4 linked regions of the Lonchura striata genome follow. The protein of the gene in region 1 interacts with the protein of each later gene in a pairwise test. Links are inferred from orthologs where the notes say so. Each region holds a gene or a part of one and is shown in the gene's direction. Other genes may lie near its edges. The genes, in order: TRIM37, COPB1, FAM107A and PRC1.

Region 1 (7,181 bases):
AAAAGTCTTGAAATGAAATACCTTTTTTTTTTTTTTTTAATTGAAAAATTTCTCCTGCTTGACTAAGTTATAGTATTGGTGCTAGAGGAAGATTATTGTTGATTTTTCAGCAACACTTTACTTGTGCATTTGTTTTCAGTGGAAGGAAATCAGGAGTCTACTGTCAGTTTCCATGAGCAAAGGGCTGCACAAACATTGAGTCCCTCTGTAAATACCACCTCAGGAACTGAAGGATCAAACTTCTCTGTGTTTACTTTTCCTTATTTTCCCAGAGCTTACCTCTGTCAGCAGAAGAACAGGCTGCAACCCAGCAGTTAAACTTGCAATTTGGGGAAGAAATGGAACTTCCAGTGAAAGAGGTAAGTAGGGCATGGAATGGCAGTATTCCAGAAACATTTAATTCCTGCAGAAGGGGCTGATTTTGTGATTTGATACCTTTCAAGTGAAGATAATTTTTCAGAAATGGAATTACGTTCCTTAACAAACCTTTTCATTTTTATTCTGTACAGATTAAGCTTTTCTGATTGTTCCAATTAGATGCTCCACAAAGGAGAAATTACCCTTGATGGAAGACTTTGTTCCTGTTATTTTTTAATTGGGATATGTTTATGTTTCTTGGGAATGCAGCTGGTTGCTCTTGTTGATCTTCTTGATAAAGAAACATTTGGGTGGGAGTGAGGGATGTCATTGATTGAAACCAATGTGGGGAGAAATTTAATTTCCTGTGAAATATTAAATTTTGGGATATGAGTAACAATCTAGTTTAAGTGCAATGCAGTAGAACTTAGATCTAAATTAATATTTGTTAAAAAGTCAGATATTCTCCCATAGCTCGAGATGTAATTATCCATTATAATTATCTGCAAATGTTTGCTCTGGGTCTCATATTAAAAATATTAGAGAAGGTTAACAGAGGTTGTTTCTCTGATTGACCTTTTCTTTTTCAACTTCTCCTCACTTCCCACTGTCACATCTCACTTTGTGTCCCTTTATTGCCACACTTGGTTTACATGGAACCTGTGGAGAGGCTCATCTGACTTGCACATAAATCTTTCTGTATCCATTTTAAACTTAATTTCATTTTAAACTGTGCTTAATCCCTAAGATTTTGCTGTTGACTTCAGTGGCTGCTTTGGTTATCCAAAGGTAAAATGTAATTAATGTAAATTTCATGCAGAAATGAAACTGTGAAAAAAGATTTCTAGCCAAAACACTAACAAATACTGACATTATTGTTTATTTTTAGCCATTCTGCTCACAATCTCCAGTCCCTGGCTCAGCTGAAGGTAAGTGATTAAAAAAAATAAATTTCCCACTGATTTATTTTCAGAGAGGCTGTGATAGGCAGTAACTTCACTGTTTTCCCTCCCAAGCACCAATATTTACTGCTTTTATGTTAAGAATTTAGACTTTACTAGAAGGACCTGACCCCTGAGTTACATTCCAGGAATAGTTGCCATGTTTCTGGGATTTTTTTTCCCTTGCTTTCAATGGGATTGAAGTGGAAATCTTGTTGTGTTTAAGCTCTGGAAGAAATGGTGCACTAATCTTACCATAGAAATAGCTCTTTTAAAATTAATTTATCCCTGCTTATAGAAAAGAATTTTCACAGTTGGTTTTTGTTTGTTTTTTAAAAAAACAAAATAACCAAAACAAAGCCAGTTGGTCATTGACAGACCAAATTTGTCAATCCTCATCAGATCTCAAATTACATGGTTTTTTACTCAGTCTCCAGATCCAGTGATTGTCTTTTTCTCTCATTTCTCTTGCTGGAAAATCTTTCTTCAATCTCACTTAGAGGTGTTTTTAAACACTAATGGAAGCACTTTCTATCTTTGATGCAATTTCTAAAGAAACAAATATTTTCCATTTCCTTTCTTTTTAACAAATATCTTCTGTTTCCAATTTTTTAGAAGCCCAGTTCACACCATTGACAAAGGAAGCATTTCTGAGAGTGCCCAGGAACATCAGGAGAACTGTTAAGTTAACAGACTTGAACTGTTTGTACAGGGAGTTGTTTAACCATTTCATTGTACAGAACAACAGGTAAAGCTCAAAGCCATTCATTAAAATATTTTTATAAACTGCAAAGAATTTCAGCCTTTTCAAATTAAATAAAAGCAGCTAGTTATGCATATTTTAACTTCTAAAAGAACTGAGACTAAACCATGAGCCCAAACTCTGCCCTCCCCTTCTCTGGGGTGAGTGCTGGGGGTTTCTTACAGGCTGATGTTACAAAGAAAATGAAGTTTTAAACTCAGGAATTCTGTCTTTTTAGCCCTAAGATTAGCAAATGACTGCTGGGATTTGAGGTGGCATAGAAAAGTTGCTGGTAATCTGGATAAGTTTGAGATTTACAGAACATTCACAAATTCATTGATTAAACAGCATGTGCTTTTTAGCCTTTTTCTGCCAGAGCTGATGTTTGATCCCTGTTTTACTAAATTTTTTTCGTTTTACAGAGCAGCACTGAGTCTTACACAGATGAAAACAGTAATTAAGAAAGCCACTAATATAAAAATTCAAATCCTGAAAGAAATGGGGATTGTAGAAGTCGACAAACAAGGAAATATAAAATTGGCTGAGTTAAAAGAAAACTACTCGGACACAGAAGCATCTTGATCCAGCTCCTGGATTACTAAGGAGCAAGAATTTCTCTGAAACAAGAGTTCCCCTGTAGGAAAATTATTAATATTTCTGTATAAATATTCTGTTGATAATACTTGAAATTGGAGAGTTCAAAAACACTGAGGTTGGCACTTTACCTTACCTGTTTAAATTATTATGGTTGATGCATTTTTAAGGAATGTTGTGAGCCATGTGATGCTTCCAATTTCCTTGCTGCATTCCTGAGGGTCTTTTAAAGGCAAATAATCCAAACCTCTTAATTGTCTTTGCATTCCTAAATAAAGATTTGTTATACTTCATTTGTGTGACTCCTCACCCTGCTCCCTGAGCTGATTCATTTCCCTTTGATGTGAATTCCCTTGGGTTTTTCACAGTCCAGGCAGGGTTAGAAGGGAATTCTGGGCACTGCCCAGTCCAAGCCCCTGAAAATCCTGAAAATTCCCAAGGATGGAGAATTTACAACCTCTGTTACACTGTTTGACCACCCTAACAGTGAAAATCATAACATTGTTTTCTTATGTGTAATATTTCTATATTGTCCATTCTATATATATTATATACTTTTAAATATTCATATTGTTATATTTCAGCCTAATTTGAGAGGGTAAGATACATTAATTTTTATTAATTCTCTGTAATAAAAATTAATTTTCATTAATTTTTCTTTTTTGTGAAGAATTATGTCTGTCAAAGGAGAGAAATTTAATTTAGTGCTCTTAGGGAAGGAAAGGCTGATTTCTGAACCCATCCTTGAACTGCTTTAGGGTTTGATGGGAAGAGAAACAGGTTGAGTATTGAAGAGGAAAGAACAGGGATAACTTGATTTTATAATGCCTGCTGCCATGTGCGCCCTTTTAGAAGTAACTAATCAGTTTCAAGCAATTAATCAGCTTCACACACTGATTTAGTAGCTTTTAACCACACTGATCTTCTAATAGAGGATTCCATTTTTGCTGTGCCACTACCAACAGCAGCATTAAATTTCTAAATTTTATTGTTCTTATTATATATTATATATTATATATTATATTATATATTATATATTATATATTATATGTTATATGTTATATGTTAATGTTATATATTATATGTTATATGTTATATATTATATGTTATATGTTATATATTATATATTATAATATATTTTTATATTTGATATATACTTTTATATTATAATATATATGTTATTTTATTTATAACATTATTTTATTTATTTATTTAATTAAATTAATTTTTTTTATTTAGTTAATTTATTTAATTTATTTAATTTATTTAATTTATTGGTGAACGCTGGCTATAATAACTGAAGGTAGCTGCCAGTAGGGTGCAAAAACCCATCTCCTCTCCTGAAACCTCGCGGGTAAGGAAAGAATAAATAAAAATAACAGAGAAAAATAAGGAAAAGTAAAGGACATTAAAGTAAAGTAGAGGCAAGCCCGAGCGCCGCGCTCTCCCCGCCCGCTCCCCTCAGGCGCCGCCGCCCTCGCGCCGCCACGCCCCCTGCGGGCGGCCCCGCGCATGCGCAGCGCGGGCGGGGCGGGGCGGCCGCGCTGCCGCGGTCACGGCCCGGCGGGTGCGCGGGGCCGCGGCGGAGCCTCCGCGACGGGCTCTGCCCCTCGGAACGCCGCTCCCGGAGCCTCCGCTCCTCGCCCGCGGGCACGCACAGGGAGGCCGGGGACAGCCGGCCCTGCTCCCGCCGCTGGCGGAGCCGCAGCCATGGACGAGCAGAGCGTGGAGGTGAGCGGGCGGGCGGGCGGCGCGCGCTCCCTCAGGGCGGTGAGGGGGCGGCGGCGGCTCCTCCGCACCCTCCCGGTTTAACGGAGCCCCTCGGAGGGTCCGTGTGCCCTGTGTGAGGAGCGGAAGAAAGGCCGAGCGGTGGCGAGCGGCGCTGGGAACAGCCTGCGGCGCTGCGGGGCTTGGCTCGGGTGGGCAGGCAGGCAGCAGGTGGGGAGGGGGTAGGAAATGAGCTGGCGGCTGCCAGTTCCGGAGGGGGATGGATCCAGGGATGCAGGGATGCAGGGATATATGGATGGAGACCTGGCGCACACCCAGCCCGCCTTGGCACCGCGGAGGTGCAGGAGCGGCTGTGACCCGGCAGCTCCAACACCTGCTGGGGACTGTGTCACAGCCAGGCTGAGGAAGAATGAAAAGAAAGAACGGCTGCGATGGTCTCCTGTAAACGCATGTGGTGCGTTTCAATGGCTTGCAGCTGTTAAAGGAGACCTGAATGTGTGGGAGATGCTGTGGTATCTGTAAATTGAAGATGTCTTGCTTTTGTGCTGATTCACAATCTCAGTGCTGTGGGGAAATTAGCTCAGCTGAAGGACCTTACGAAGTTCCAGAGTTATAACCAGAAGTATTAAAACTCCTGTATGATACAAGATGTAAAACTTCCTTATCATTTAAAAATTATAAGTATGGAAACATTGCTTTCAAAATACCTTTCTCATTTGGAAAGGATTGATGAACCCAAGATTGATTAAATGGGGTGGGAGAGAGTGTAAAAATTGTGGGGCTAATGCTAATGGTAAGACCTTAAAAGAATATAAGTCTTATAAAAGTAAAAAAAAAATACCCAATTCATTTCAACACCTCTTTTATATTACACATACATGCACTTACCATGATCTAATAATATTTTAGTGCCAGTCCACTGCCTGCAGGTACAACACCATTTCTTCTGGCAGCTGCTCAATCCTGTGTGAACACATACAAGAGTGTCTTGGCTACAGAAAGTCCTGCTCCAAAAGAGAGAAGTTCAAACAGAAAGTATTCCTTGGAGAGAGGGAATAGTGTTATAAAACAGGTGCTGGTGCAGTGTAGGAGAAGCTGAGAGGGAGAGTTGTGGTGCGCAGGTTGTATCTCCCTCGGAGATGTGCTGTTTGAAACAGGACAGAAACCTGGCTCGGTGCCTGGGAAGCAAATGCAGCCCTGGTGCGTCTGAAGCATGTTTAACAATAGTGCTAATCCCCCTTTGCAGAGCATTGCCGAGGTGTTCCGATGTTTTATTTGTATGGAGAAGCTGCGGGATGCCCGCCTGTGCCCTCACTGCTCCAAGCTCTGCTGTTTCAGCTGTATCAGGGTGAGTTTGCTTGGTGTAGTCTGTTCTTTCAAAGGTTTGAGCTGCAAACTGATTGAGCTTATGAAAACATTCTTTTCCTGGAGTTCCAAGGATTCCTTTTTTGGTTTTTTTCCCCTTCTTTAGTTTCCCTTTCAAAACCTTTTATAACACCCCTGAGGAAGAAGTAGGCAAGCTGTGCGTTGCCTTCAGTGGTGCTAATTATAGGCACCATCTGGAATAATTGCTTTAAGAAAGAGACACACAATGATCCCTTCTTTAGCACCTCCTGAGAGTTGGTGATGCCTGTATGGAAGATAAAAGTTGGGACAGAAATCAGACGCTGACTTTGCACCTGGGAAGGTCACAGCATCACCTCGTGTATCCTGGAGGTGTTTTATAATGCCTGTCAGGCTGGTGTGGTGTGATCAGGTGGGGCTAAATCTTTCTCAGGGGAGTCTGAGGCAGCACCTGAATCCTCATTCCTTTGCTGAGGCCGTGGTTCCCAGTGTATCACGCTCCAATTCCAAATCCAGATGCTGTTTTGTGTTGCTGGAGCAGTAAAAAGTTCAGCTGAGGTTTCCAGACCTCAGTAGTATTTCCAGAAATTAGAACAGACATTCATCCTTCACTCTGGAAGCTCTGACAAGAGCTGTAGGTGAAGGATTCATGCTGCATATGAAGGATTTTAGATGACATATTGTTGCTGGGTGGTGAGAGATTATTCATGAGACTCTTTAAATGTAGTAGAGAGCTGACAAATATAAACCCATCAACTGCTGAGCTTTTACACTTGTGAGTTGTAGTGGGCAGGTGAAGTTCTTTGCTCAGCTGTTTGTCCCTGGAGCTTTCTGGAAGAGAAAAACTCCCAAGCTCCTTGTGGATTTGATCACTGAACTTCAGGTATTTAATTTGTCTATAAATAACTCAAGAAGAAGAAATAAATTACCTCGAATACTAATTAGACTGTGAAAAAGATGCTTGTGGTGTCTTTTTCTTTGTTTTATTGAAACATGCTCTTTAGTCTAAGACTCTGGGAATCTGCCAGGTGGGTGGTTTCTAATGCAATATTTGGTACCTCAAAATTCTCTATATAATTTTAACTGAAGCATCTCTGACATCTAAAGACAAGTGGTGGCTTGTTCCTAAGACACAAATAGAAGCTTTTTCTGTGACTAAGTGGTTGAACAGTTAAATTGAAAATTTGCTTAACAGGGAAAACATATAGGAAAGCTGTAATAAAAGTAAAGTAACTCCTAATTAATGATAGAACGTATTTGCCTGCAGTTCTTTCATTCCAGTCTGTTTAAAAAGGTTTCTCCTTTTTCCATCACAGCGTTGGCTGACTGAACAAAGAGCTCAGTGCCCTCATTGTAGGTAAGGTATTTTTAATATCAGGAATTAGGTGCATTGTCCTGTTATGACCAATCTCTTTTTCAGTGCAGGTTGCACTAAATTTATAAGCTTTAAGTTTTTTTTCAGACCTGCTGTTCAA
Region 2 (7,922 bases), on another chromosome or scaffold:
ATGAAGTAGGGAACTTACTTATGCACAGTGCAATTTGTAGAACAGAGAAAGAAACACTTTTTTTGTGCCAGCCATCCTGCCCATCTAAAAGCTGCAGATGGGAGAAGTGGAGGAAAAGAGGTTTTTGGGGTTTTTTAAATAGTTGTTGTGTTTCTTTAAACAACAGTTTTTGAAAGAATTGTGTAAGAACAGTGATATGATCAGCAATATAAAGTATATATAAAACATGTTTCTGTGCACACATGTAGGTGTGATGTACCATGAAGCAAAACTCTTTTAAAAAATTTTATGCTCTAGCAGCAGTCGGTGTGAATTTATATATTTGTTTAACATTCTGTGGGGGTTTTCTTCTCTCTTTGAAGGATATGGGCCCTCACATCTTCCAGACTTGTCCCTCTGCAAACTATTTTGACTGCAAGGCAATGTCCATTGGTGCTCGTTCACAGTCAGCACGAACTTACTTGGAGAGGCACATGACTGAGTTCACTGACTGTGAGTAGTGGAGCTCTCTCTACCCACTGGTATTCATCAATTCTGCAGTTTATCTCCTGCTGCCACTCCATTCTTTTGCATTGAGTGAGATGAAGATAAATATTGTGAACCAAGTTTGGCATAACTGTAAATCTGCATAAAGACAAAATTTTAGAGAATATGGCTGAGATTTTCATGTCTTAACATGTGGGTGTTTATTTCATCTAATGGAAAGAAAAGCTGTGAAAAACGTTAAGAGCCTCTGCCCTTTTTAACTCAGGAAAAATGTTTCCATAGCAGAGCAGGGTTAGTATGTCAGGGCAAGTATTTAGGTGCTGCATTTAAAGTGGTGAATTTATTTTTCTTACAGGATGATGATGAGGAACCATTTAATACCTGCTTGGGGGGAAAAAGCTTAAATCAAGGCAGGGGTCAAAAATGGGTGCACTTGGCCTCAAATATAGGGGAAGGCTGGTTTCTCAAGGAAAACTTTTATAACCAGCTCTGCTCAGAAAGGAGAGGAAGTCTGGGAGTCAAGCTGATTTTGGAGTTGTCAGCTAGGATTAGGAAGAAGCGGAATGAGTGTCTAGAGGTAATACCATATAGGTTGTCAATGTCTTTCTGATCCTATTTTAAGGTAATCTAAATGAGCTAGTTAAACATGGACTGCGAGCCCTGAGAGAGACTCTTCCTGCTGAACAGGATCTAACCACCAAGGTAAGGACTAGGTTTCCTTTGCCATTGTTACTCTGAAGTAACTGTGACAAAATTCTTGGAAGTATGGCTGGCACCAAAACTTTGAAGCTGAATACTGCTAGATAATATCTTCATTTCAGGTTGCCAGTTTATCTACTGTTCTGTGTTCATCTCAGGTTTAAGTTTCTTCACAAAAACGATGCGTTCACTAAATAAAACACTGTTTCCATGGTGGCTTCACTCTATCTTAAGCTTTGATCAGTGGTTAAGATGCATCACCTGCGGCTGTAGAATCCCAGCTTTGCATTGTAAGCACAGTCAGTAATTCACCTGGGCGGTGAGTGGAGGTTATGCACCAGCAGTTTCTAGAGCATCCAGCATCACAAAGCTGCACAAACTTTTGACAATGAATTGAGGACCTGTTGAAGAAGAAAATTCTTAGAATATCCAATTATCTACCATTTTCCATGTTTTTTTATTCTTAGCTTGCCATGTTTTTTAGAGGTCATAAAATACTGAAAATCAAAATGAGTTGAAAATAAGTGGTTTTGAGAAATTGTGTGTGTTATTAAAAAGAAAATGATAGAAATTTAAACCCTTGAATGGCATTACTTAGAAGATTTTGAAATTTGATAGCTTTTGTAAATGAAAGCTGTAAAGCCAAAGTTAATTGCAGGAAAATGCTTCTCACTGCTTCTGACCCTTTGCTTGACAGAATGTTTCAATTGGAATTGTGGGTAAAGACATGGAGTTTACCATCTATGATGATGATGATGTAGCACCATTCCTAGAAGGTCTTGAGGAGAGACCACAGAGAAAGGTGAGTGGTTCAGTTATGAATAAATAGGCTTGGTTGAAAGACAATAGTTAGAGATTATCTATTATGTTTAACATAAATTTAACTCTACTACTGTACCAGAGTATTAGGAAGGTAATTTTTAAAATATGTAGTTACTATATGAACACTGCATCATCTGATAATTCAGATGCTTATTAAATCAGTTTATTCTGGATTTATGCCAGGCTGTTCCAATGTCATCTTCTTTCCTCATCTCTGATCAAGTAGGAGCTTTCGAGTTTTACAGCAGAAGTGGTTGCATATGTTTCTCATGCCCTTTGCAAGATGCCTCTGTAGTTTCCTAATTACCAACTATGTCCTGCTTGTGCTTAATGTGGGTAACAGTAATTTGTGAGCTGTTGGCTTACACAAGCTGCATTTACCACTCATGGTGCTCCAATGGGGATAAAGCTGATTTGTCAAGTGTTGTCTTCTGCCTTCCTAAAAATATTTCTTTTCCCTCTCTCTAAGCTGGTCCCGCCAGTTGAAGAAACTGTGGAGAAGGCAGAGGAACCGATGGAACACTAGTTGGTGGATGAGTTCCTCTGTTAATGTATAATTATCCAGGAACATTTATCCATTTGCTGGTAACTTTATCCTCACCTCTATATGTTTTATGATACTACATTCTGAGGATTGCTCGCAAAGAAAGAAACCAACCAACCCACCTATCCTTAAAAGATAGACAGGAGGACATATCTGGGTGTAACTTGGACAAGAAAGGTGTAATCATTTTCTAAATAGTACACGATACTGTTTTATAAAGAAAAGATACTGTCTTTAACTCATAAGGACAAGTGGAAATAAATCACTTTCTCGGATTCTGCTGTGAGTTTGGGTTTTTTTTCAGTCTGAAAAAACAGCTATTCACAAATAGCAGTGTCATGCCAAGCTGCCATTCTGTGTTTGACCATTTGTTAGAGTGTTTGCTTACCATGTAGAACTGAGGGGATCTTAAAATGCCTATGAAACCATAAAATAGTCATGGAGCAAACAGGGAACAGCGTTTACCTGTGTCAGCTTGTCCCAACTGAAAAGGCATTTGAAGCTGACAGTCAAAAGGTCAGTTTTTTTGGGGGAATTTGCTCAACCCCAGCTTTTTTAGAACTGCCAGTGTCTTTTTTAGAGCCATCAGCCAGTCTTGGGGCAGAACAGGGCTTTTAGCTCACTGAGGGCTGAATTGGAGTTAACAAAAACCCACCAGAAGTTCCCATTAGAGGTCTCCACGGCTTTGTCTCTTCAGCTTGGTCTGCAACTGGTACTCTTTGGATTTGGGCTGAATGCCACGAAGTCTGGGACTAACAGTGAGTTCCTCAGGGTCATCTGCCAGGGAAGTCCAGTGAATTGGTGCGACCTGGGCGGGATGCTGTATTGTAAGCAAGAAAGAGTTCGTGTTTTTCTGTGTTGGATCACTAATATAATTGTTCTCCCCAGTGATTGCATTGAAAATTGCAAGGAATAGTCTTCTGGAGTGGACCCACATAGGCCCTGATAGCCTGCTCAGTGTACTTGAAAAAAAAAAAAAGCCTGGAACCTTCAGATTAATAATTTATTAATATTTCTTAATTAAACAAAAATCAATAAATCATGGTGCTGTTTTGAACAGGCTTTCAATACTGTCTTGAATCCATACAAATAGTTCAGTCATGAAAATAGCAGAACAGCAGTGCCAGGGCTGCATATTTGTTTTTTAAGTGTTAGAAAAAGCTGCTTTTATTTTTCCTAAATTTATTTTTATTTTACGTTTTCTCTATTTTTCTATTTCTTTCCTCCCTTATTTCACCTTTTACTCATTTTTCCCTCTCTTATTCATTTTCATTTTTCCCCTTAATTACTTTTTCACCATTATTTATGTTTTCCACTTTATTTATTTTCCCATTGGTTTTTTCCTTCTTTTCCTTCCCCTTGCTTCCCCCTTGTTTTTCCACCCCCCATTTTTTTCTCTCCCTTTGCTTCTCCCCACATTGTTTTTTTTCTCTCCCTTTGCTTACTCCCCACATTTTCCCTCCCTTTGCTTTTCCCTTATTTATTTATATACCCTCTTCTTTATTCATTTCCCGTAATCTATTTTTCCAGTTCATTACTGATTTCCCCCAATTACTTTTTCTCCCCACCTATTTATTTGTTCTTATTTATTTTTCCCTTTACCATTTCCGAGCCCCCCTTTTATTGTCTTTTTTTTGGTTGTTATTTATCTAATTGCTTTCTATCTATATCTGTCTATATCTATCTCCATCTCTATATTTCTGTCTCTCTCTCTCTGTCTGTCTCTCTGTCTGTCTCTCTGTCTGTCTCTCTGTCTGTCTCTCTGTCTGTCTCTCTGTCTGTCTCTCTGTCTGTCTCTCTGTCTGTCTCTCTGTCTGTCTCTCTGTCTGTCTCTCTGTCTGTCTCTCTGTCTCTCTCTCTGTCTCTCTCTCTGTCTCTCTCTCTGTCTCTCTCTCTGATCTCTCTCCAATCATCTCTCTCTATTTCTCTCTATCATAATCTATCACCATCTATCATCTCTATCTAATAGCTAGATCTATAGCTATCTAATATCTGTATCTCTCTATCATCTATATCTATTAGCTATAGCTAATAACTATGTCCAATATCTATCTCTATATGTATCTATCATCTATATCATCTCTATATATCTATTTTATCTATTCTCTAATATCAAAATCTATATCAAAATCTGTGTCTGTCTATATCTAAATCTCTGTCGATATATGCGGCGCTTTTAATCTCGGTTTCGGCCGCTCTTTCCCGCTGTTTTCCCGGATCCCCCCGCGCGGGAAAACCCCGCCGCGCGCTCGGGCTCGTGACGTCACGCGCGCAGCCCCTCCCGGCCCCGCCCTCTTCCCGCGCGGCGGCGCCGCCCCGTTCGCGCTGGCGGGAGGCGTGTCCCGGCGCGGCCGCCGTAGGCGCGATGTGGCGGGGGCGGGCGCGGCTCCACGTCAGCCATCGGCGGAGCGGCAGCGCCGCGGGCTGAGCGCCGGGACACCGCCGGGACACCGCCGGGACACCGCCGGGACACCGCCGGGACCGGCCCGACCCCGCCGCTGTACGGAGCCGCGCGGCCCGCCCGCGCCGGCCTCGCGGGGCCGGGGGGAACGGGTGGGCGCCGCTGCTCCGCTGGGCGCCGCGAGGCCCGAGGCCTCGGGGCCCCGGCGGCAGCTTCCCGGTGTCCCCCGGCAGGGCCCCGGGGCGGCTGCGGGAGGGCTTGCGGCGCTCGGCGTGTGCTCAGGGGAATGGCAGGCGGCCGCGGCGCTGCGGGAAGTTTTGCCTCATAGCTTAAAATGCCCGGGTTTGGAGGGGAAGTAGGAGCGGGGACATTAAGGGAGAAATAGCCCCCAGCCGGCTGGAAATTTACCGGATTTTTTAGTAAACATTTGGAACGCTCTGTGCTATAATTGTGCCTCAGTGGAGCGCTGCATTCTCAAGGTTTGGTTCATTAGGTGCCCCCGTTCCTAAGGCTCCCCGGGGATGTAGGTGGCGAGCAGGCGTGGCTTTTTGTCTTCTGGCCTCTGTAAACTCTGCAACTTTCGATTTCCTTGGGTGCCCCATCCCTGCAAGTGTTCCAGGCCAGGTTGGATGGGGCTCTGAGCAACCTGCTCTGGTGATGGCAGAGGGTTTGGAATGAATTCCTCTTTAAAGTCCCTTCGGACTCCATTCATTCAGTGACTACCCACAGGTGACAGAGATGTTACCGCTGGAGAGTTAAAGCAGCACCTACGTCTGTGTCCCTGTGGGCTCTCAATTTCTCTGATTTCAAGTCTTTGTGCCTTGCAAGGAGGAAAACAGGTTCTCCCTGCCAAATCTCCCAGCTCTGTGTTTTAAGAGAGTTGTTTTTCATTGCTGCTTTTCAGAGCCCAAAGTACACTCATTTATCATGCTTCAGAGATATGTTTCACTGTAATTTTGGAAATTTCTGCAGCTGAGGTCTTTGAGTAAAGATACCTGCCCTGCTTTCACAAGGATCTACTTTATGGTCTGTGTGAGTTGTTCTTGTAGCTGAAGGTGCTGGCTGCAGGGCTTTGAGGCAGGAATTCTGGGTAACAGCATGGGAAATGTAAGCAAAAAAGCTGCTGCTGAGGCAAGAAAACAGTTGGGAAAGCCCTCTGAGATCATCAAATCCAACCTTTGATCGCCACCTTTGTCAACTGGAGCATGGCACTAAGTGCCACATCCAGTCATTTCAGGAATCGGTGGTTTATGTAGATATTTGTAAGCAACAAGATTGAGTGATCTAGGACTTAAAATACAGAATTCATAACAGGAAGAGGACTGTTTCCTTAAAAGTTTGTATTGCTAGTATTTTTTGGGGTGGTTGTTGTGGCACTGATTGATGCGAGTTGTTTTCCTCTGTGGAGAAAGGGACAGCAGCCCAGCTCAGCACAACTTCCCTGCTCCCTGTTCAGGGTGACGTTCTCTGGGTGCCCATTTGATGAGAAAAGGGAGTCTCAGACTTCCAGACAATTAATGTCAATAAAAGCTGATTTATTTTTGACACAATTTCTGTAGAAAGTACAAAATTGCTCATGTAATAAATAGTGACTGTTTTCTTTGCTGTGCTTTGTCAGTGTAGTATCACAGCATTAGCATTAGCCAAGCAAGCTCAAGCTTGAGCATTTTTCATTACTTAAGAAATAGAATAAGCAGGTTGATTTGATCCTAGATGTCTATTATATAAAGAATAAATAAACATGAGAATGAGGATTGATACAACAAAAAGGTTGATTTGATCCTAGATATCTATTACACAAGGAAAAACAAATCTGAGAATGAGCATTGAGCTTAATAGCAGATTTCATTACCTGGACTGCCAGGCACACAGCAGCTTAGATAGATCTGTAGCCTTCTTGTCCTTTTTCACCATAAAAAGACTTGGTTTCCTCATTAGTGTCTAGTGGAGACAGTAGAGTTGAGCTGATTTGATGATCCCTGGCGATAAAATGCTTCTGTCTCCTTCACTTTGTCTTCTCTCCCATCCTTGGTTTCTGCTCTCTTGGATCTCATGCTCATCTTCAAAGCTTCCTGCATAGACTGATTTGGTTTGTTAATTGAGCTCAGAACTTTATCTTTTCATTTTCTCTTTCTTCTGTGAAGCTTTTCAGCTGATTTTGCAGCTTGGGTGATTCAGCTGGAGGGACACAGGAGTGTAGGGAAGGTAGTGGGAGTATACAGCTGGGTATGACTTCAGAAGGGAGAAGCTGCATCCATTTGCCTTCAGTCAGGTGCCCTGTACACTTCTGTTATCCCTGACTGCCCAAAATATTGGAAAGTTTTTGTTCTTTTTCTGTTGTCTCTGAAAAATGTCATACTCTTCATCTTTGTGGTGCTCACAGGAATATTTCAGGGTGGTAGCAAAGCAAGAAGCCTTTTGCATGTAGCTTCTCAAGAAACAGCAATCCCTTCAAGCCATTAAGTCAGTTATAATAATATAATGATTTGTGTTTGTTAATAAAATCTTTTAACTTTGGGATGGCTTTGTTTGCTTGGTTTTTAGGTTGTCTGACATTTGTGTGAAAATAATTCTTCCCTTGAGAGAACTCCTGTAACCAAGAGCCATGACTGCTGCAGAGAACGTGTGTTACACGTTGATCAATGTTCCCATGGATTCAGAGCCACCTTCTGAAATCAGCTTAAAAAATGACCTAGGCAAGTATTGACAGTGATTGAAGGATACTCCATTTTGCCTGAATTAGTCACTCATTGTGCCTTTCCTAGAGTATTGTTTACATTTTGTAAGCTAAAACAAGTCTGTTTCATGTTTATTTTCTGTTGAGCTCTAGATGTATGTTCCTCTGTTTGCTGTGTTTAGAGAAATGTCATTATATAATTTTATTTCTTTGGTGTACTCCCCAGTCTGTGCAAAATCGGATTTTTTTTTCTTTTTGAGAGCGTTTTAAGTAATACCTGCTTGGACGAAGGC
Region 3 (6,886 bases), on another chromosome or scaffold:
ACCCCCCAAGCTACATCTCACCCACCTGCCTGCAGAAGACAAGCACCAGTGGCATTGTCCCCCACGCCAAACCGAGCTGCAGCTTTTGCCACCTTTCCAACTTGCACTGCTCCAACCTCCTTATTCATCTTCTCTCTCTCTTATTCCTGCAGTACATTAAAAATGATGGAGAGACAAATAAATATGAGGGCTGGCCTGAGCTGTTGGAGATGGAGGGCTGTGCCCCCAGGAAGATGGACTAGCATCAAACTCCAGCCTGCCATGGAGGGCAGCTTCACCAGTCACACAGGGACACCAGCCCCATCGTGGGGACTGCAGCCTCTCCACTGCCAGGTCACAGAGCCCAGCAGCTGCTGCCTGCTCATGGGAACTGGCTGTTTCACAGCAGGAACTGTGCATGGCTTGGAGAAGAGCTGTACAAGTGCCTGCAGAGCAGAGCAGACACGTGGCCAGACTGCAGCCAAGCCATCCTCATCAATGGGTCAATTTGGGGTATTTTATTTTTCTATCTTTTAACTAAAAACTTTGTAGAAGGTTTTGTAAATTTCTTCAATGAGATTTCTAATTACAAAACACTACCTTCTGCCTTCCATTTTCAAGCATAATCAACACTTTCTCCCACAGGCACAGCATGCCAGGTCCTCTGCCACCAGTCCAGCATCACCATCACCCATCCCACAGCCCTGCACACAGGACTCCCCCTCCTCACATGGCACAGGGTAAAGTCATCCCTGGGGATGCTCAGACTTTGGTGGTTTCCCCTTGGAGCTCTTGCCAATGTCCTACAGTCTCCTACAGCCACAATATGGCCAGAAATCCACAGGGATAGCACACAGCAATGTAGGTTAATATTTACAGACCAAAGCATCATTCCTGGGTGTTAAAAACTGGTTTAAACCCAGAAGAGCAAAGAAAATAAGTCTCTATGTATAAAATAGAAAGAACTTTGAAGGTTCAAAATCTTCCCAAAAACAAGATAAAAAAACAAGCAAGATTAAATGTTGATACCAAAAAAATTGATAGATTTTGATTTAATAGAAAGAGAGGCAAAGAGAAAGAAAGTGAAAAGTAGGGAAAAGTTCGAAAATACTAAGGTTACTTTTAAAAGCATAGGATAGGTCATCACCTCACCGTACTACCTTGGCTGCTGCTGAGACAGGGTGTGGGGAGCAGAGCAGGTTTTGTCCTTCTTTCTCTGCTGTTTGAATTATCTTATCTGCCCCCCCAACTTCAGGAGCAGTTTGGCTGGGATGCAGCCACCCATCCTTAGGATGAAGGAGCCATGCCCGGTCTCTGCAGCCAAACCTTGGTCCACTCGTGGTGCTCCCTCCCTGCCATGGGACACAGAAGCAGGCAAGGGTTCCACAACTCACTCCTGACTTCAGTCCAGGGCTGCAGGATCAGGGGTTCCTCCCCAAGCAGGCAGTGTCATGGAGGCCTTAGGGTGTCCCACAGCAGGCAATGGTGGTGGAGGCAGGGGAAAGGCAAAGGTCAAGGATTCTGCCCCTCGCTTTTCCCTCCACATTTTGCACAAGGTTTGCACTCCTTTTTATGGGTCTCAAGGCAGTCCATCCCACCCGTAGTTTTCAGGTGTTCAAGAGTGATGATGATAAGCAGACATAATGACAAAAAAATTTTTGAAGCCTTTCTCGTATTATCAGGTTCTTACACCAGGTTAAATCCAAGCTAAATCCTCTGTGGCACACCCCTATCAAAGGCCAGGATAATGCCAGGGTTGCGCCAGCCTTGCTTTGTCCTCAGGGATGGATGGATGGATGGATGGATGGATGGATGGATGGATGGATGGATGGATGGATGTGCAGGGTTTCTTGGGCAGCTGAAGTTGTGCAACACAACCAATAGGTGGGAGCCTTTTACCGGTAGAGCCGGGGCCAGCACCGCTCCGGAGCGCTACAACGCGCCCGGGCTGGCACCGCTGGGTCAGCCACACACCGGGAGCTGCAGCCCAGCCTGGGCCAGCCGGCACCACGGGGAGAGCAAAGATCCCTGCCCGAAGGCGAGCAGCAAAGCCCCACAGTGCTCCTAGAGCAGTCCCCACGCTGCTCCCCAGCACCGAGCAGGTCCTGGGGAGCATCTGCCCCCCACTCCTGCCCAGATGCACCAGCCAAGCACGGTCTGCTCCCAGCCCCTCCCCGAGCCCCGGCGCTGCTGGGATCAGATGAGCTCCACGGGTGATGGCTGGGCTTATCTGCCATCAGAGACAAGGATGAATTTGCATCACATACAGACTTTAATTTCCGATGATTGTATCTGGTTTTTCCCCATTCTCTGAAGCAGACCAGCAGTTTTGCAAAACATGAGGATGGAGTGTTTCTCCTGGAGCAGCCTTCTCTGCATGCAACAGCCCCTGCACAGCTCCTAGCGGGCACTTCACAGGGTTATGGGAGCTCTCAGGTCACCCCAGGGGAGCAGAAGTGAGGAGCACAGGCAGGATAAGGCCAGGAAAGGACACAGCCTGTTCTGTGCTGGCCACCTGTGGAACAAAACCCTGGATCCAAAACTCAACACCACCAATCTATCAGTTTTCCCTAAACAAGGAAAAATCCCCACATAAACTGTGTAACACCTGTAAGGGCTTCCAAAGGCAGAACTGAAATAAAACCCCGAAACAGCCACCACAGAGGAATCCCCGAAGAGGTGTAGTATTTTATCCCAGCTTATCCTCCCATGCTCTTAGCACACACCTGATGGTACTGAGGGAAACCTCTGCCATAAATCGATCCCTAAATCTGCTGCAACAACAGCGGTTAATCCCCAGCGCTGAATCATCCCTACCCATGGCACAGCAAGAAATAACACAACCAGCAGACACAACAGCCCTGCGAGCTGCCAGCATAAATATGCCAACTATTTTAAGCCCCTCAAAGGATCTAGATTCACTCATAAAGCAAACTGAAAACAGCCCAAGAGCTGTAAAGGTGGCTCCACAGGGCAAACCAGAGCACAGCATCAACTACAGCCCCAAAAACAACCAGCCCCATTCAGCCGCAGGAAACTCTTCCTACCCCTTGCAATGCACATTAGAAATCTGGTTTAAAGCCAAAATAAAGGAAATTTATGTTTCAGCATGCTACAGGCAGTTAAAACTAGCTCTGAATCCATCACAGAACAGTTACTAAGGTACATCACTATTTTCAAGAAATAGGGAGAGCTAAAAATGCAATTCCTGTGCAGGGACCTTCAGCCAGTGTTTTCAAGAGTCATTCCTGCCAAAGTCCCTGTGTCCTGATAAATAAATCAGAGTTTTTTAAATATCCAGACACTGAGAGGTAGAGAATAAATATGAATTCATGAGTCAAACTGAACTGACTAATTTCTTTAAATGGATCTGAAAAGGACAGTGGGTGCAGGGACAGCAATCTCCAAATGAAGTTTTGCAGTGCTGTGGCATTTTGAAAGCTGTATTACTGCAGGGACAGGCACCTACCTGGCTGCTCTGCACTGTGCTGCATCCCCAGAATCTTCACCAAACACAAGCCTGAGCCGCCCAGACTCCCAGAATGCAGCTTCAGGTAACCTGGGCTCACCTGGGGTCACAGGAGGCACCAAGGCTGCAGCAGCAAACAGGCAACCTGGGGTGTTTGTGGGAGCAAAGTTTGCAAAATCCAGTGCTGCAACAGGAGCTGGGAGCCAGGATACAGAGGCAGAAGAGGGATAATCTTTCTTTATATTTAAGGGTCCATTTGGGCAAAGCACCAAAGGAGTATCTAGGAAAGATGCCACAGGCAAGGACCTGCGGGTGCCGGGCCGCAGCTGGGCGAATCCGCATCCTGTGACATCTTGCCCTGTCAAGTGCAATTACTGTAATCTTCCACAGCCTCTCAAAATACGGATCCCGGCTTAGAAACCGGGCATCCACAGCATGAAAGCTGCCTTTGTGCCCGGGCAGAGCCTGGGTGCGAGCCAGCCGTTAGGTGCATGAAGAAAATGAGTTCTCCACGTGCTGGAAGAAGGGAGGAAAAGCGAGCTTTCCCCCCCGAGCCCGCCACACTCGGGCTGGATTTCACCCTCGGCTCCCCACAGCAGCGGCGGAGGGGCCGGGAGCAGCAGGGCCGCCTGTCCCCGCCGCTGTAACGGGGCCGTGACCGCAGCGAGCCGGCGGCTCCCGCAGCCTGCGCAGCCACCATGGGGGCGTCTCACGGCAAAAAGGTAAAAAGCTGCCGGGGCGGTTCTCCTCGGGCTGCGGTGCGAGAGGTGATGGAGAAGGCACCCTGTGCTCACATGGGACCCGCTCTGCCCCACGCGTGCTGCGGCAGCCGCGATTAAGGGAAGGGACCGCTCCTGGGTGTGGTGCCTCCCAGCAGCGCCGCGTTAAGTAATTCCGTCTAATGGGCTCAGCATCGCGGCCTGCCGGGGATTTCAGGACAGCAAGGAGGGGGTGAGAGCATTGCAAGTGTGGCTTTAGGACAGACAAAGTTTTGTTCTCTAGGGAGAAATGTTAGATTTGTTCTGAATGCCTCCAGCAGCCTCTGGGATGTCTCCTGTAGATGCAGGGCAAAGCAAGTCCTGAGTGTTTCTTGGCCTGGGAATTGATGCCAACTCCCTCCCAGGACAGGGAGGGGCTGGGCCGGGTCCCACAGCACCAACGCGTATCCCTGTCCTCCAGATTCCCTGGGGAGAGTGGTCAAATAGCTCCAAATGGAGAGTTTTATGGAGTCAGAGCCTTGCAGAGGTGGCTGGAGATGGTTGTGATGAGGATGTTGCATGTCATTTTGCTTCCATGGCTTATGACATCAGTGCCTAGAGATGCATCATCCCTGCTCAGTTGCAATGCCCTGTCTGGAGTAAGACTTCCATAGCTCATCTCCCAGGTCTAAGAGAAACATTCCTGTGCACTACACTAGGTAATAACTTCCACTGGAATGGGGACAGAGGTGACCCTTTGCCCCAACAGGGACCCTTCATGCTCAGCTGAGTATGACTGAGGCCTTCAGAGGTATGGTCACTAAGTGCCTCTCAGAATTTTGCCAACTTGCTGGACTTTCTTCCAAAGCCAAAGCTAGACACCCTTGCAGGGCAAGCATGTGAAAAACTGGCCATTGGCCAGCGTGACCAACACCCAGAAGGAAAATCAGAGCTGGAGTGGGAGTAGTAAAGATGTATCTGTTTTTCTGGACTTCTGACAAGTGCCAGGTGCAGGAGGTGCTGCTCCCAGCCAGCCCCAGCTGCTCCAGCTCCCATCCCAGCTCCCAAGGCAGGGCTGGCTCCAGCACACACAGGAGCCGAGGCTGTTCCTGTGGCTGTTCCTGTGGCTCAGGACTACAACACACCCAGGAGGAGCCATGCTCTGCCCACAGCTAATCCCCAGGCCCCTGCTCACGTGGCCCTGACCTTCAGGCCCCAGCGCATTTGTAGAGGCATTACTGGGAGCAGGGAAATAAGCTGGTTAGGTCAGGCTTGGCTCAGTGCCACCCAGTTAAGCCCCGCTGCATACAAAGCAGCCCATGCCAGCCTCCTGACCACCAGACCAGGCTGCTTTTGGACAACTTTGCCCACTGTTCCCTCTCTCTGAAACACCACGATCCCACCACAGCCCAGCACTGAATGGCCTGGCTTTGAAATGCTGCTGGGAGCTCAGGCTCTCCAGCTTCCTGGCAGCTCCTAAAAGCTGAGACAGTTTTACTTTCATGGGTACCAAAAGGTCAGAGATGTCACTCCCATTTCAGCCTCCCGAATGTTGCCTGGGTTGACAAAAGCCTGTGCCACTGCCCAGCTGGCACCAAGCAGGGACGTCTGACTGGCAGCTCCTGGTTCTTTACCCTTAGGCTGATGCTGGTGGGAGATGAAAACAAGACAATTCTTTCTGCTGCCTTTCCAGGGTGGGTGTGAACAGCAGGATCCAGCTCTCCTGAAGAGCAGGATGAGTCCAGGTGACAGGAAAGCTTCCCTTCCCCCAGCCCTTGCAGAACCAGGGCTCAGGGACCTGAGGCACAGCTCAGGGCACAGGGACCTGCCAGGGCTGAGCCCATGTGTCAGCAGCAGCCCAGAGAGGACCCAGAGCACAGAGCAGGGCTCAGCACCCCTGGCCAGCACAGCCTGCATTAGCAGTCCCAGCTGCACCTCTTTCAGGCTTAGTCCAGAACAGCACTCCAAGGGGATTACAGTAGTGGATTGTGGAGTGCAAGGCAATCCCCAGCTCCACAACAAAAGGGTCCGGAAAGGCTGCCAGCATGGCTCCGAGGACATTTTTATTTTAAAAGGCTGCATCTAGTCCCAAAAAAACTCTTCTCGTATCACCAGTGTTCTGTGGGCCCAAGCCAACAGCAGGGCTCCAGCAAGACACAGATTTTTGCTGGGCTGCCCTTCTCTTGAAGGGAAGGCAAGGACTTTGCCACAGGCTGGTTCGTGCGTGCTGCAGAGCTGGTGATGATTCCCTGCTGATTCCTCTGCTCTGCAGGGCTTCAGCCCCACTGGTGTGGCTGACATCCCTCTAACCCCAGCAAACATCCTTCAAATAATCTGAAAGCACAGCCTCATCAGCAAGAGATTCCCAGGGTGCCAGGGCAGATGCTCCATACCCTCTGGCAGTGGAGGAGGTTGTTCCCAGGCACCTGCACCTCTACAATTCTTTTCTCCATGCTTTCTCAAGACAGAGTTTGCATAGTGGCTGTTTCCCCAGGGAAAGTTCTCTGTCCCCAAATTCCCAAGAGTGTCAGTTTACACTAATGTCAGATGAGCCTGGATTAGCCCTGCTGCTGAGCAGGGAGCTTTGCTCTGTGGCTGGTTTAGAACAACAAGGGGCAGCACGCCAGTGCCAGGGAGAGAGGTTCTGCTTATTCAGGCAAACCACAGTACCTGGCTGCCCATGCTGAAAACAGGGCTTTGAGAACATCCTTTAAAACTCCTCCATCTGAGCAGGACAGGA
Region 4 (7,899 bases), on another chromosome or scaffold:
GGGCAGTGGCCAGGGCTGCCTGTGGGCAGCACATCTCCCCGAGGGGCAGGGAAGGCTGTGTGGGGCCGCAGGAGGAGCGAGAGGGCAGCCTGGCTCCGGCTCTCCCCGCAGACACCGACTACGTGACAGCACTCTGCTCCCAAGTGGTCTACGAGGGGCTGGTGGACGACACCTTCCGCATCAAGTGTGGTACGTGACCTCTGTGCCTGGGGCTCTGTGCTCACACCTCAGGGCTCTGTGCTCACAGCAGGGCAGCTCAGGGCTCTTCACTCAGGGCTCTGCATTCACAGCTTGGGGCTCTGTGCTCACAGCACGGGGCTCTGCACTCACCTGGCCAGCGTCTGCAGGGTTTGTGCCTGGCATTGTCTGGCACCGTGCTGTTCCCACAGGGGCAGTCCCAGCGTGGGGTGCTGCTGGAGGTCATTCACAGAGAGTCCTCACTTTGACCAAGTGACTGGGCTGGTACCCCCCTCCCTGTCTCTGCTGCCTCTTACAGCAGGGCTCGTGCACGTGGGACAAAGCAGCTCTCCATTTTTCCCTGCAGGCAGTGTGGATTTTGGGCCAGATGTCACCTCTTCTGACAAGAGTATTAAAGTGCTGCTCAATTCCCAGGACAAAGTGAGTCCCCTTGGTGGGAGGAGGCACAGTGGAGCATTCCCTCCCCTAAGCTTGAGCAGCTGGAGGCTGCTTGGAGCATGGATTCAGGCACAGAGACCAGAGAAACCTGGTGCAGCTCCACTTCTGAACCTGCCAGAGTCCCTGCATGCAGGGCTGTGTCACAAATGAGTGTTTTAAGGTCACTGAAGGAATCCCCAGCAAAGGCATCTGCAAAAACAGGTTTAATGTAAAAGCTGCAGCATGACAAAATTCATTGGCAAAGTTCTAAATTGTTAAAGCACACAGATAAAAAGCAAAAAAAAAATATAAATCAATGAATCCACATCAAAATCAACCCAAAAATATCTACATGGAGGTCAAGGTGGGGAATGAGGGGGGAATCAAAAGAATAGAAAAGGAATACAGAAGAGCCTCCTGTTGAGTCATGGGGTTCATAGTTATTTTCCATCCTGGCCACAATTCAGGTTGTATTTTTACTATGGAATTTGAAAATGAAAATATTACTCCATGTGGGTTTTTACTCGGGTTACAAAAATAAGTTTCCCAGGCTGTTCATTAAAAAGCAGGAGGTGGTTCCTAGCAAGAGTGTTTCTGCTGAGCTGGGAGGACCCAGGACATCAGGGCTGATCCCTGAGGAGCATGTCTCAGATCAGCTGTGGCTGGGCTCAGAGGGACACACTGGCACTGCTGTGCTGCCAGCCAGGGCTCCGGGGCATGGGGTGGCACGTGGCCCGCGGGTTGTGCGAGCATGGGCCCTGGGCTCTGTCTCCAGGGCTGCAGCCAGCCGGGCCCTGGCAGCTGTGGTGCTTCCCCAGGTGTTCAGCCAGATCCGGAACGAGCACTTCTCCAGCGTGTTTGGCTTCCTGAGCCAGAAGTCACGGAACCTGCAGGCGCAATACGACGTGAGTGTCCCCCGGCACGCGCGTGGCACCGTCCCTCGCAGCCCGGCCACGACCCCTGCTCTCCCTCCCGCAGCGGCGCCGGGGCATGGACATCAAGCAGATGAAGGACTTCGTGTCCCAGGAGCTGAAGGGACTGAAGCAGGAGCATCGCCTGCTGAGCCTGCGTAGGAACCTGGGGGAGGGGCCCTCGGCTGTACCGCGCGTGCCGGGGCTGCGGGGAAGGCAGGGGCTTGGGGGTCCTGGATGGGCCCGGCAGGGCAGGGGCTGTTGGCATGTGCTAATAGTGCCTGCAGAGCCCTTTCCCCTCCAAAGCTGCTCTGTCTCTTGGCTGTGTAGATATTGGTGCCTGTGAGTCTATCATGAAAAAGAAAACCAAGCAGGACTTCCAAGAGACCATCAAGGCTGAACACTGTGAGTGCTGCTCCATCTGTGCCCACCCCGCCCCAGTCTGACCCACGGCCTGGCTTGCCCCAGGCCCAGGCAGCCTCATGCCTGGGTGTTCCCTGCCTGGCCACATCCTCCCAGCCTCTTTTTCTGGGGTTGTGTCAAGATCCTAGGTAGGGTCAGGCTGCGCTCTCTGAGAGAGAACGTGTGCTGGGGTGGGGGCCCCATTCCCTGGGGTGTTGGGAGGGCAGCGGAGCTCACAGCCCAGCTCAGCGGGCTGGCAAGAGCCCTGGGCTGATGCTGTCTGTGCCCCTGCCGCAGCGCTGCTGGAGGGCTTTGACGTCCGTGAGAGCACCAGCTTCATCGAAGAGCACATTGACCGGCAGGTGAGAGCACGGGGACGCCTGCTGAGCCGCCCCGCCCTGCCCCGCTGAGTCCCGCTCCCCACAGGTGTCCCCCGTGGAGAGTCTGCGCCTCATGTGCCTCCTGTCCATCACGGAGAACGGTGAGCAACGCTCTGCTGGGCCAGCAGGGCCACCGAGCCCCAGCCCGGGCACGGGGCTCACCTGGTGCTCCCCACAGGTCTCATCCCCAAGGACTACCGCTCCCTGAAAACCCAGTACCTGCAGGTGAGGGCCAGGAGTCACTGCTGGGCAAGGGTAGGGTCCCCTCCCTGCGCTCCTGGCCACGAGGCGCTGGGCAGCAGCGCTCCTGGGGCTGAGCCCCAGCACGCCTGGGTGTCTGCAGGACAGACCCTGCCTGCACAGGCTCACCGTGAGCCCCAGCTCCACCTGCGCCTGCGCTGTGTTTGCTGGGGGCTCTGAGCACAGAGGGGCTCTGTCACAGTGTCCCCTGTGCCTCGCCGCAGAGGGCACAGCCTGTCTGCTTCCCGTGCTGGCAGACAGGCCCACACTGACGCTGCTGCCCCGTTCACAGAGCTATGGGCCCGAGCACTTGCTGACCTTCCACAACCTCAAGCGCATCGGGCTGCTGACTGAGCAGTCAGCTGGGGAGACCCTGACAGCCGTGGAGAGCAAAGTCAGCAAGCTGGTGACAGACCGTGCCGCAGGTGAGCCTGCCCCGTGTCCCTGGCAGCCTGGGAAGGGCAGCTGCTGGCCCAGAGCTGGCTGGAGGCATGTGGCAAGCGTGTCCCCAGCGATGGTGCTGCAGGCAGGGCAGTGGGCTCTGCCCTGGGGGCACCGGAGCTGGCAGCCACCACAGCCATTCTCCAGAACACACAGCTCTGCACACCTCTGCCAGCCTGGGCTGGGATCCAGGCAGAGCCTCTTAAGGTGTTTCTCCTCGTCATGTTTTCCAGGAAAGATCACTGATGCATTCAATTCTTTGGCCAGGAAGAGTAATTTCCGAGCCATAAGCAAGAAGCTGGGGTTGGTATGTCCTCAAGGGGTGCTGGCTGGCCACACTGCCCACAGAGCAGAGAGCTCTGCTAGCCTGTGCCCAGGCTGCAGGTTTGGTACCGCAGGGGGACACAGCTCAGGGCCAGAGCTGCTGCAGCTGCTCCAGGCAGCCTGCGGGCTTCTCCTGGGGGCTGGGGGCCACTGCCAGCTTTCCTGCCCTCTGTGCTTCCCCCACTCTGCCCTGGTCCTGCGCCCTGTGAGTGTGGAGCAGCACTGGGCCTTTCCTTGCCCCCTTCAGACAGCAGTGGCACTGGGCAGGCAGCCCTGTGTCCTCCATCCTGAGGCAGAGGTCCTAGGCTGCTGGCAAGGTGACGTTTCTGGGGCATTTCAGGGACAGTTCTGTCCCTGGCTCCTGCTGCACAGCCCACCCAGGCCATGTGATGGTGGGGCAGGAGGTGGGGACGGAGCCGTGCTCCAAGCATTTGTCTCTCCTCACCCCTGCACCTCTGAGGGGCAGTGAGGCCCCAGGCAGCCTGGTCCTGTACCCCTGGTGTCCCCTGTCACCGCAGATCCCTCGGCTGGATGGCGAGTACGACCTCAAAATGCCTCGGGACATGGCCTATGTTTTTGGCGGGGCCTACGTGCCCCTGAGCTGCAAAATCATCGAGCAGGTGAGCCCGTCCACTGTGGGCACATCCCGCAGCCCTGCCTCGCCTGGGGAGCGCAGCAGGGCTCTGCCCAGGGCTGGGGCCGATGGTGCCGCTGCTCCGAGCGCTGGGCCGTGCCCAGAGCCAGCCTGAGCCTGCACTGACCCCCAGGTGCTGGAGCGCCGGAGCTGGCAGGGCCTGGAGGAGGTAGTGCGGCTGCTCAACGGCAACGAGTTCTGCGTCTCAGGTACTGGGGGGCCGGGCGGCGGGGCCGGCAGCCGGCACGGCCTACAGCACCCTGCCCTTGCAGACAGCACTGCGGAGGACAGCCCTGCCGGGGAGTCCCAGCGCGTTGTCCTCGCCGTCTTCCTGGGGGGCTGCACCTTCTCAGAAATCGCGGCGCTGCGCTTCCTGGGCAAGGAGCAAGGTAGGGGCCGCCTGGAGCGGGCAGGAGCCGCCGCAGCTCGAAGCCAGGCGGGCTCTGTGCTCTGCTCGGCGAGTGGAGCCCGCGGGCACGGGCCGGCAGTGCCGGTGCTGCCCGCAGCGCTGCCGGGGCACCAACGCGCCTTCCCTGCAGGGTACAAGTTCATCTTCTTGACCACGGCCATCACCAACAGCGCCCGCATGATGGAGGCCACGATCGAGGCCAAGGCCTGAGCCCCGTGGGCAGCGCGCCAGTAAAGATCCGTGCTCACACCGACCCGGCCTGCGGCTGTCTGTGTGCGGCCGGGCACTGCGGGAGCGCGGCCCCCCGGGACCGGCGCGGCCCTGAATCGGGACGGGCACGCGCGGGCAGCTTCCGGGGACGCGCCGGCGCGGGCACGCGCTGGCGGCTCCCGGGGACGCGCGGGCCCCGCCCGGGCGCGGTCACGGCGCGCTGCCGGATGCAGGCGCGCGGGGGCGCCGTTACCGCGCAGGAGGCGGCGGCGGTCTCGCTGCGGATTGGCTGGAAGCGCTCAAGGCTCTGCGCTACCATTGGCTGGTGGCTGGGCGGGGGCGCGGCCCGGTTGGCGGTTGTGGGCGGGGCCGCGGCGGCGCGGCAGCCAATCAGCGCGGGCGGGGGGAGTTCGAATCGGCGGAGCGGCGGCGATGGAGCGCGGAGCGACCAGGAAAAGGTGCGGGACCGGGAAACATGAACGGGAACGGGGAACCGGGGGGAACCGGGCTGCGGGCACAGCTGGGTGCAAGCGCTGCGCGCCGGGGCGGGCGGTCCCGGCGGGACGGGCGGAGGCTCTCGGGCCCCGAGCCGCCGCCGCCGCTGACGGCCCGCCGTGCCCAGCGAGGTGCTGGCGGCCGAGGCCGTGTCCTGCCTGAACCGGGCCATGGCGGCGCTGCGGGACATCTGGGAAGAGATCGGCATTCCCGAGGAGCAGCGCCTGGAGCGCACGGACGTGGTCCGGAAGCACATCAAGGTGAGCGCGGCGTCACCGGTTCTTCTGTTGAGCCGCGCAGCGGCAGCCCGGGACCCGCCCAGCGCGGGGCCGGCTCTGCGGGGAGCACCGGGGGTCTCCGCCCGGCTGTTGCCGCTCTCCGCCCTCGCCCCGTGCAGCCCCGGGCTGCCCTGCCTCTGACCACACCTGTGCCGCAGAGTCTCCTGGACATGATGGTGGCGGAGGAGGAAAGCCTGAAGGAGCGGCTGCTGAAGAGCATTGCCCTGTGTCGGAAGGAGCTGGACACCCTGTGCAGGGAGCTCCAGCTGGGCCCCTTTGAGGTGAGCTGTGGGACCCTGGTGTTGTTCTGGCAGCACTGCTGCTGCCTGGCCTCTGCCTGGGTGTCCCAAGAGGCCAGAGCTTAGAAGGCAAATATCCATCCCAAACTGCTTTTCTGGGAGCTTGGTAGAGCTAAGGGCTTTGTGGCCCCTCACAGGCCAGCACTGGTAGGGGGTTTGTGGTGTTCTCCAGCACACTGTTTTGTGTGTTGCTGGTGTTCATGCACCTTCCTGGGGAGCATCTCACTCAGACCCAGGCCTGGCGGCCCCGGGCTTTGCATAAAAACCTGAAGCATGAGCCAGGTGTGGGAGAAGTCTGGAACAGAGCTGATTTCTGGCCCCTTGCAGACAGAGGAGGAAAGCACCATCCTGCAGATGGAGAAGAACCTGCGCACATGTGTGGAGGTGCTGCAGAAGCAGAAGCGGGACCGCAAGCAGGAGCTGAAGGCCCTGCAGGAACAGGACCGAGCCCTGTGTGATATCCTGTGCACAGCCCTGTTCACCATCGACACCGGCAGCGTGCCCAGCCTGGAGGACCTGGACCGCTACCGGCGCCATGTGGCATCCCTCAGCACCCTGAAGGTGAGCCTGCAGGGTCAGGGGGCCTGAGGGGCTCACAAGGGGCCCCTGGTTCCTGACACCACCCTCGCCCTCAGGAGCAAAGGCGGGAAGAATTTGTCACCAACAAGCGTCAGATCATTCTGCTCATGGAGGAGCTGGACCACACTCCGGACACCAGCTTTGAGCGGGACGTGGTGTGTGAGGATGAGGAGGCATTCTGCCTGTCCCAGGACAACATTGTGGCCCTGCAGACGCTGCTGCAGCAGGTCTGTTGTGCTCTGAGGCAGTGCTGTGGCTGCCGCCGTGTCGAGAGCGGGCGCTGGGCTCTGGCGAGGCTGTGTGTCCGAACACGGGCCGCTGGGGAGCTCTGGCGTGCCGGCACGGCCCCGCGGGCGCGGCAGGCTCGGGCTGATACCCGCTCCCTCTCGGTGCAGCTGGAAGCCCGGCGGGCCCTGAACGAGGCAGTGTGCGCGGAGCTGCGCACCAGGATCCTCGCGCTCTGGGAAAGGCTGCAGATCCCCGAGGAGGAGAGACAGGCCTCGGCCGTGCACCTGGCCGGGTCCAGGGCGCGAACCAGGAGAGCTGTAAGAGCCCTGTTGTGCTTGTGGAGGGAGGGCTGGGGGCAGCAGCTCTGGGATCTCACGCTCCTGGTTGCTCAGGGAGACCAAATTCTGGCCAAATTCTGCCTGCTTGGAGGGAGGTGCTGGAGGTTGGTGCTGGCAGCTGCCTCATTCTAGAGAGCGGCTCACGCAGAAGATGAGCCCTGTTCTCCCCTCTTCCTCCCTGACCTGTGCTCTGCTCCCGGCACAGCTGCAGCAGGAGGTTGACAGTCTGGAGGAGCTGAAGCTGCGGAACATGAAATCCGTCATCCACGCGATCCGGGCAGAGCTGGCTGACTACTGGGACAAATGCTTCTACAGCCAAGAGCAGAGGGAAAGGTTCAGCCCCTTCTATGATGGTGGGTGCTGGCCATCCAGGCAGATCTGGGGAGGAATCCAGGGGTTCCAGCAGCCCCCTGACCTGGCTGTTGTGCCCTTCCAGAGGATTACTCAGAGAGCCTGCTCGAGCTGCATGACGCTGAGGTGGGCAAGATGAAGATGTACTACGAGACACACAAAGATCTGTTTGAGGCTGTTCAGAAGTGGGAGGAGAACTGGAAGCTGTTCCTGGAGCTGGAGGTATTGTCCAGGCTGGAACATGTGGGGTCATGGCTCAGCGTGTAACTCTGCTCCCAAGGGAGAGCGCTCTGGGAAGGAGCAGGGAGCCACTGGGAAGCCGTGATGGGCCAGTACAGGGATGAGGTGCTGTGTTTTGAGCACTGGGGTGTTTGTGCAGGGCTGGCTTCTCTGGGGCCTTCATCACATGTGGTTGAGGGGATTGGGTGGTGTGTTTGTGTCGCTCCTGACCACCCTTCTCTACCAGAGTAAAGCAAGTGACCCCAGCCGCTTCACCAATCGAGGAGGAAACCTTCTGAAGGAGGAGAAGCAGCGAGCAAAGCTGCAGAAGACGCTGTCTAGGGTAGGTCCAGCCCTGGGGAAGGACCTGTGGTCCCACTGACACAGAAAAAGGGATCCTTGGGTGTGGGGACACCTGTGTTTAGGGCAGCCCCTACACTGCCCTCATGTTCTGATCAGCTGCAGGAGGAGCTGGAGAGGAAGGTCCAGACCTGGGAGGAGGAGTTCAAGGGAGCTTTCCTGGTGAAGGGGCAGCAGTTCATGGAG

The links.
Region 2: the proteins of TRIM37 (region 1) and COPB1 interact in binary tests that used the Homo sapiens proteins (3 or more experiments, as listed by UniProt). The two-hybrid records come from large-scale screens. The link is inferred for Lonchura striata from reciprocal best matches to the Homo sapiens genes TRIM37 and COPB1.
Region 3: the proteins of TRIM37 (region 1) and FAM107A interact in binary tests that used the Homo sapiens proteins (3 or more experiments, as listed by UniProt). The two-hybrid records come from large-scale screens. The link is inferred for Lonchura striata from reciprocal best matches to the Homo sapiens genes TRIM37 and FAM107A.
Region 4: the proteins of TRIM37 (region 1) and PRC1 interact in binary tests that used the Homo sapiens proteins (3 or more experiments, as listed by UniProt). The link is inferred for Lonchura striata from reciprocal best matches to the Homo sapiens genes TRIM37 and PRC1.

Annotation. Positions count from the first base shown.
Region 1 is NC_134622.1:9,024,420-9,031,600, reverse strand, and holds the start of TRIM37 (E3 ubiquitin-protein ligase TRIM37), read left to right. Parts: upstream 1-4,179; 5' UTR 4,180-4,344; coding exon 4,345-4,365; intron 4,366-5,608; coding exon 5,609-5,710; intron 5,711-7,022; coding exon 7,023-7,063; intron 7,064-7,181. Other genes in the region: SKA2 (spindle and kinetochore-associated protein 2), read left to right, coding at 273-359, 1,247-1,286, 1,914-2,046, 2,463-2,622. UniProt on the Homo sapiens protein: E3 ubiquitin-protein ligase required to prevent centriole reduplication. Probably acts by ubiquitinating positive regulators of centriole reduplication.
Region 2 is NC_134608.1:50,406,400-50,414,321, forward strand, and holds the start of COPB1 (coatomer subunit beta), read left to right. Parts: upstream 1-4,919; 5' UTR 4,920-5,104; intron 5,105-5,301; exon of another isoform or gene 5,302-5,431; intron 5,432-7,496; 5' UTR 7,497-7,557; coding exon 7,558-7,648; intron 7,649-7,922. Other genes in the region: PSMA1 (proteasome subunit alpha type-1), read left to right, coding at 363-492, 1,109-1,188, 1,883-1,987, 2,477-2,533. UniProt on the Homo sapiens protein: The coatomer is a cytosolic protein complex that binds to dilysine motifs and reversibly associates with Golgi non-clathrin-coated vesicles, which further mediate biosynthetic protein transport from the ER, via the Golgi up to the trans Golgi network.
Region 3 is NC_134614.1:15,843,229-15,850,114, reverse strand, and holds the start of FAM107A (actin-associated protein FAM107A), read left to right. Parts: upstream 1-3,872; 5' UTR 3,873-4,146; coding exon 4,147-4,170; intron 4,171-6,886. Other genes in the region: protein FAM3D, read left to right, coding at 153-242. UniProt on the Homo sapiens protein: Stress-inducible actin-binding protein that plays a role in synaptic and cognitive functions by modulating actin filamentous (F-actin) dynamics. Mediates polymerization of globular actin to F-actin. Also binds to, stabilizes and bundles F-actin.
Region 4 is NC_134613.1:24,372,981-24,380,879, forward strand, and holds the start of PRC1 (protein regulator of cytokinesis 1), read left to right. Parts: upstream 1-4,883; 5' UTR 4,884-4,998; coding exon 4,999-5,024; intron 5,025-5,188; coding exon 5,189-5,321; intron 5,322-5,497; coding exon 5,498-5,620; intron 5,621-5,965; coding exon 5,966-6,199; intron 6,200-6,273; coding exon 6,274-6,444; intron 6,445-6,612; coding exon 6,613-6,762; intron 6,763-6,988; coding exon 6,989-7,136; intron 7,137-7,219; coding exon 7,220-7,356; intron 7,357-7,600; coding exon 7,601-7,696; intron 7,697-7,812; coding exon 7,813-7,899. Other genes in the region: VPS33B (vacuolar protein sorting-associated protein 33B), read left to right, coding at 112-189, 545-618, 1,434-1,520, 1,594-1,684, 1,857-1,931, 2,226-2,290, 2,355-2,409, 2,487-2,533 and 6 more. UniProt on the Homo sapiens protein: Key regulator of cytokinesis that cross-links antiparrallel microtubules at an average distance of 35 nM. Essential for controlling the spatiotemporal formation of the midzone and successful cytokinesis.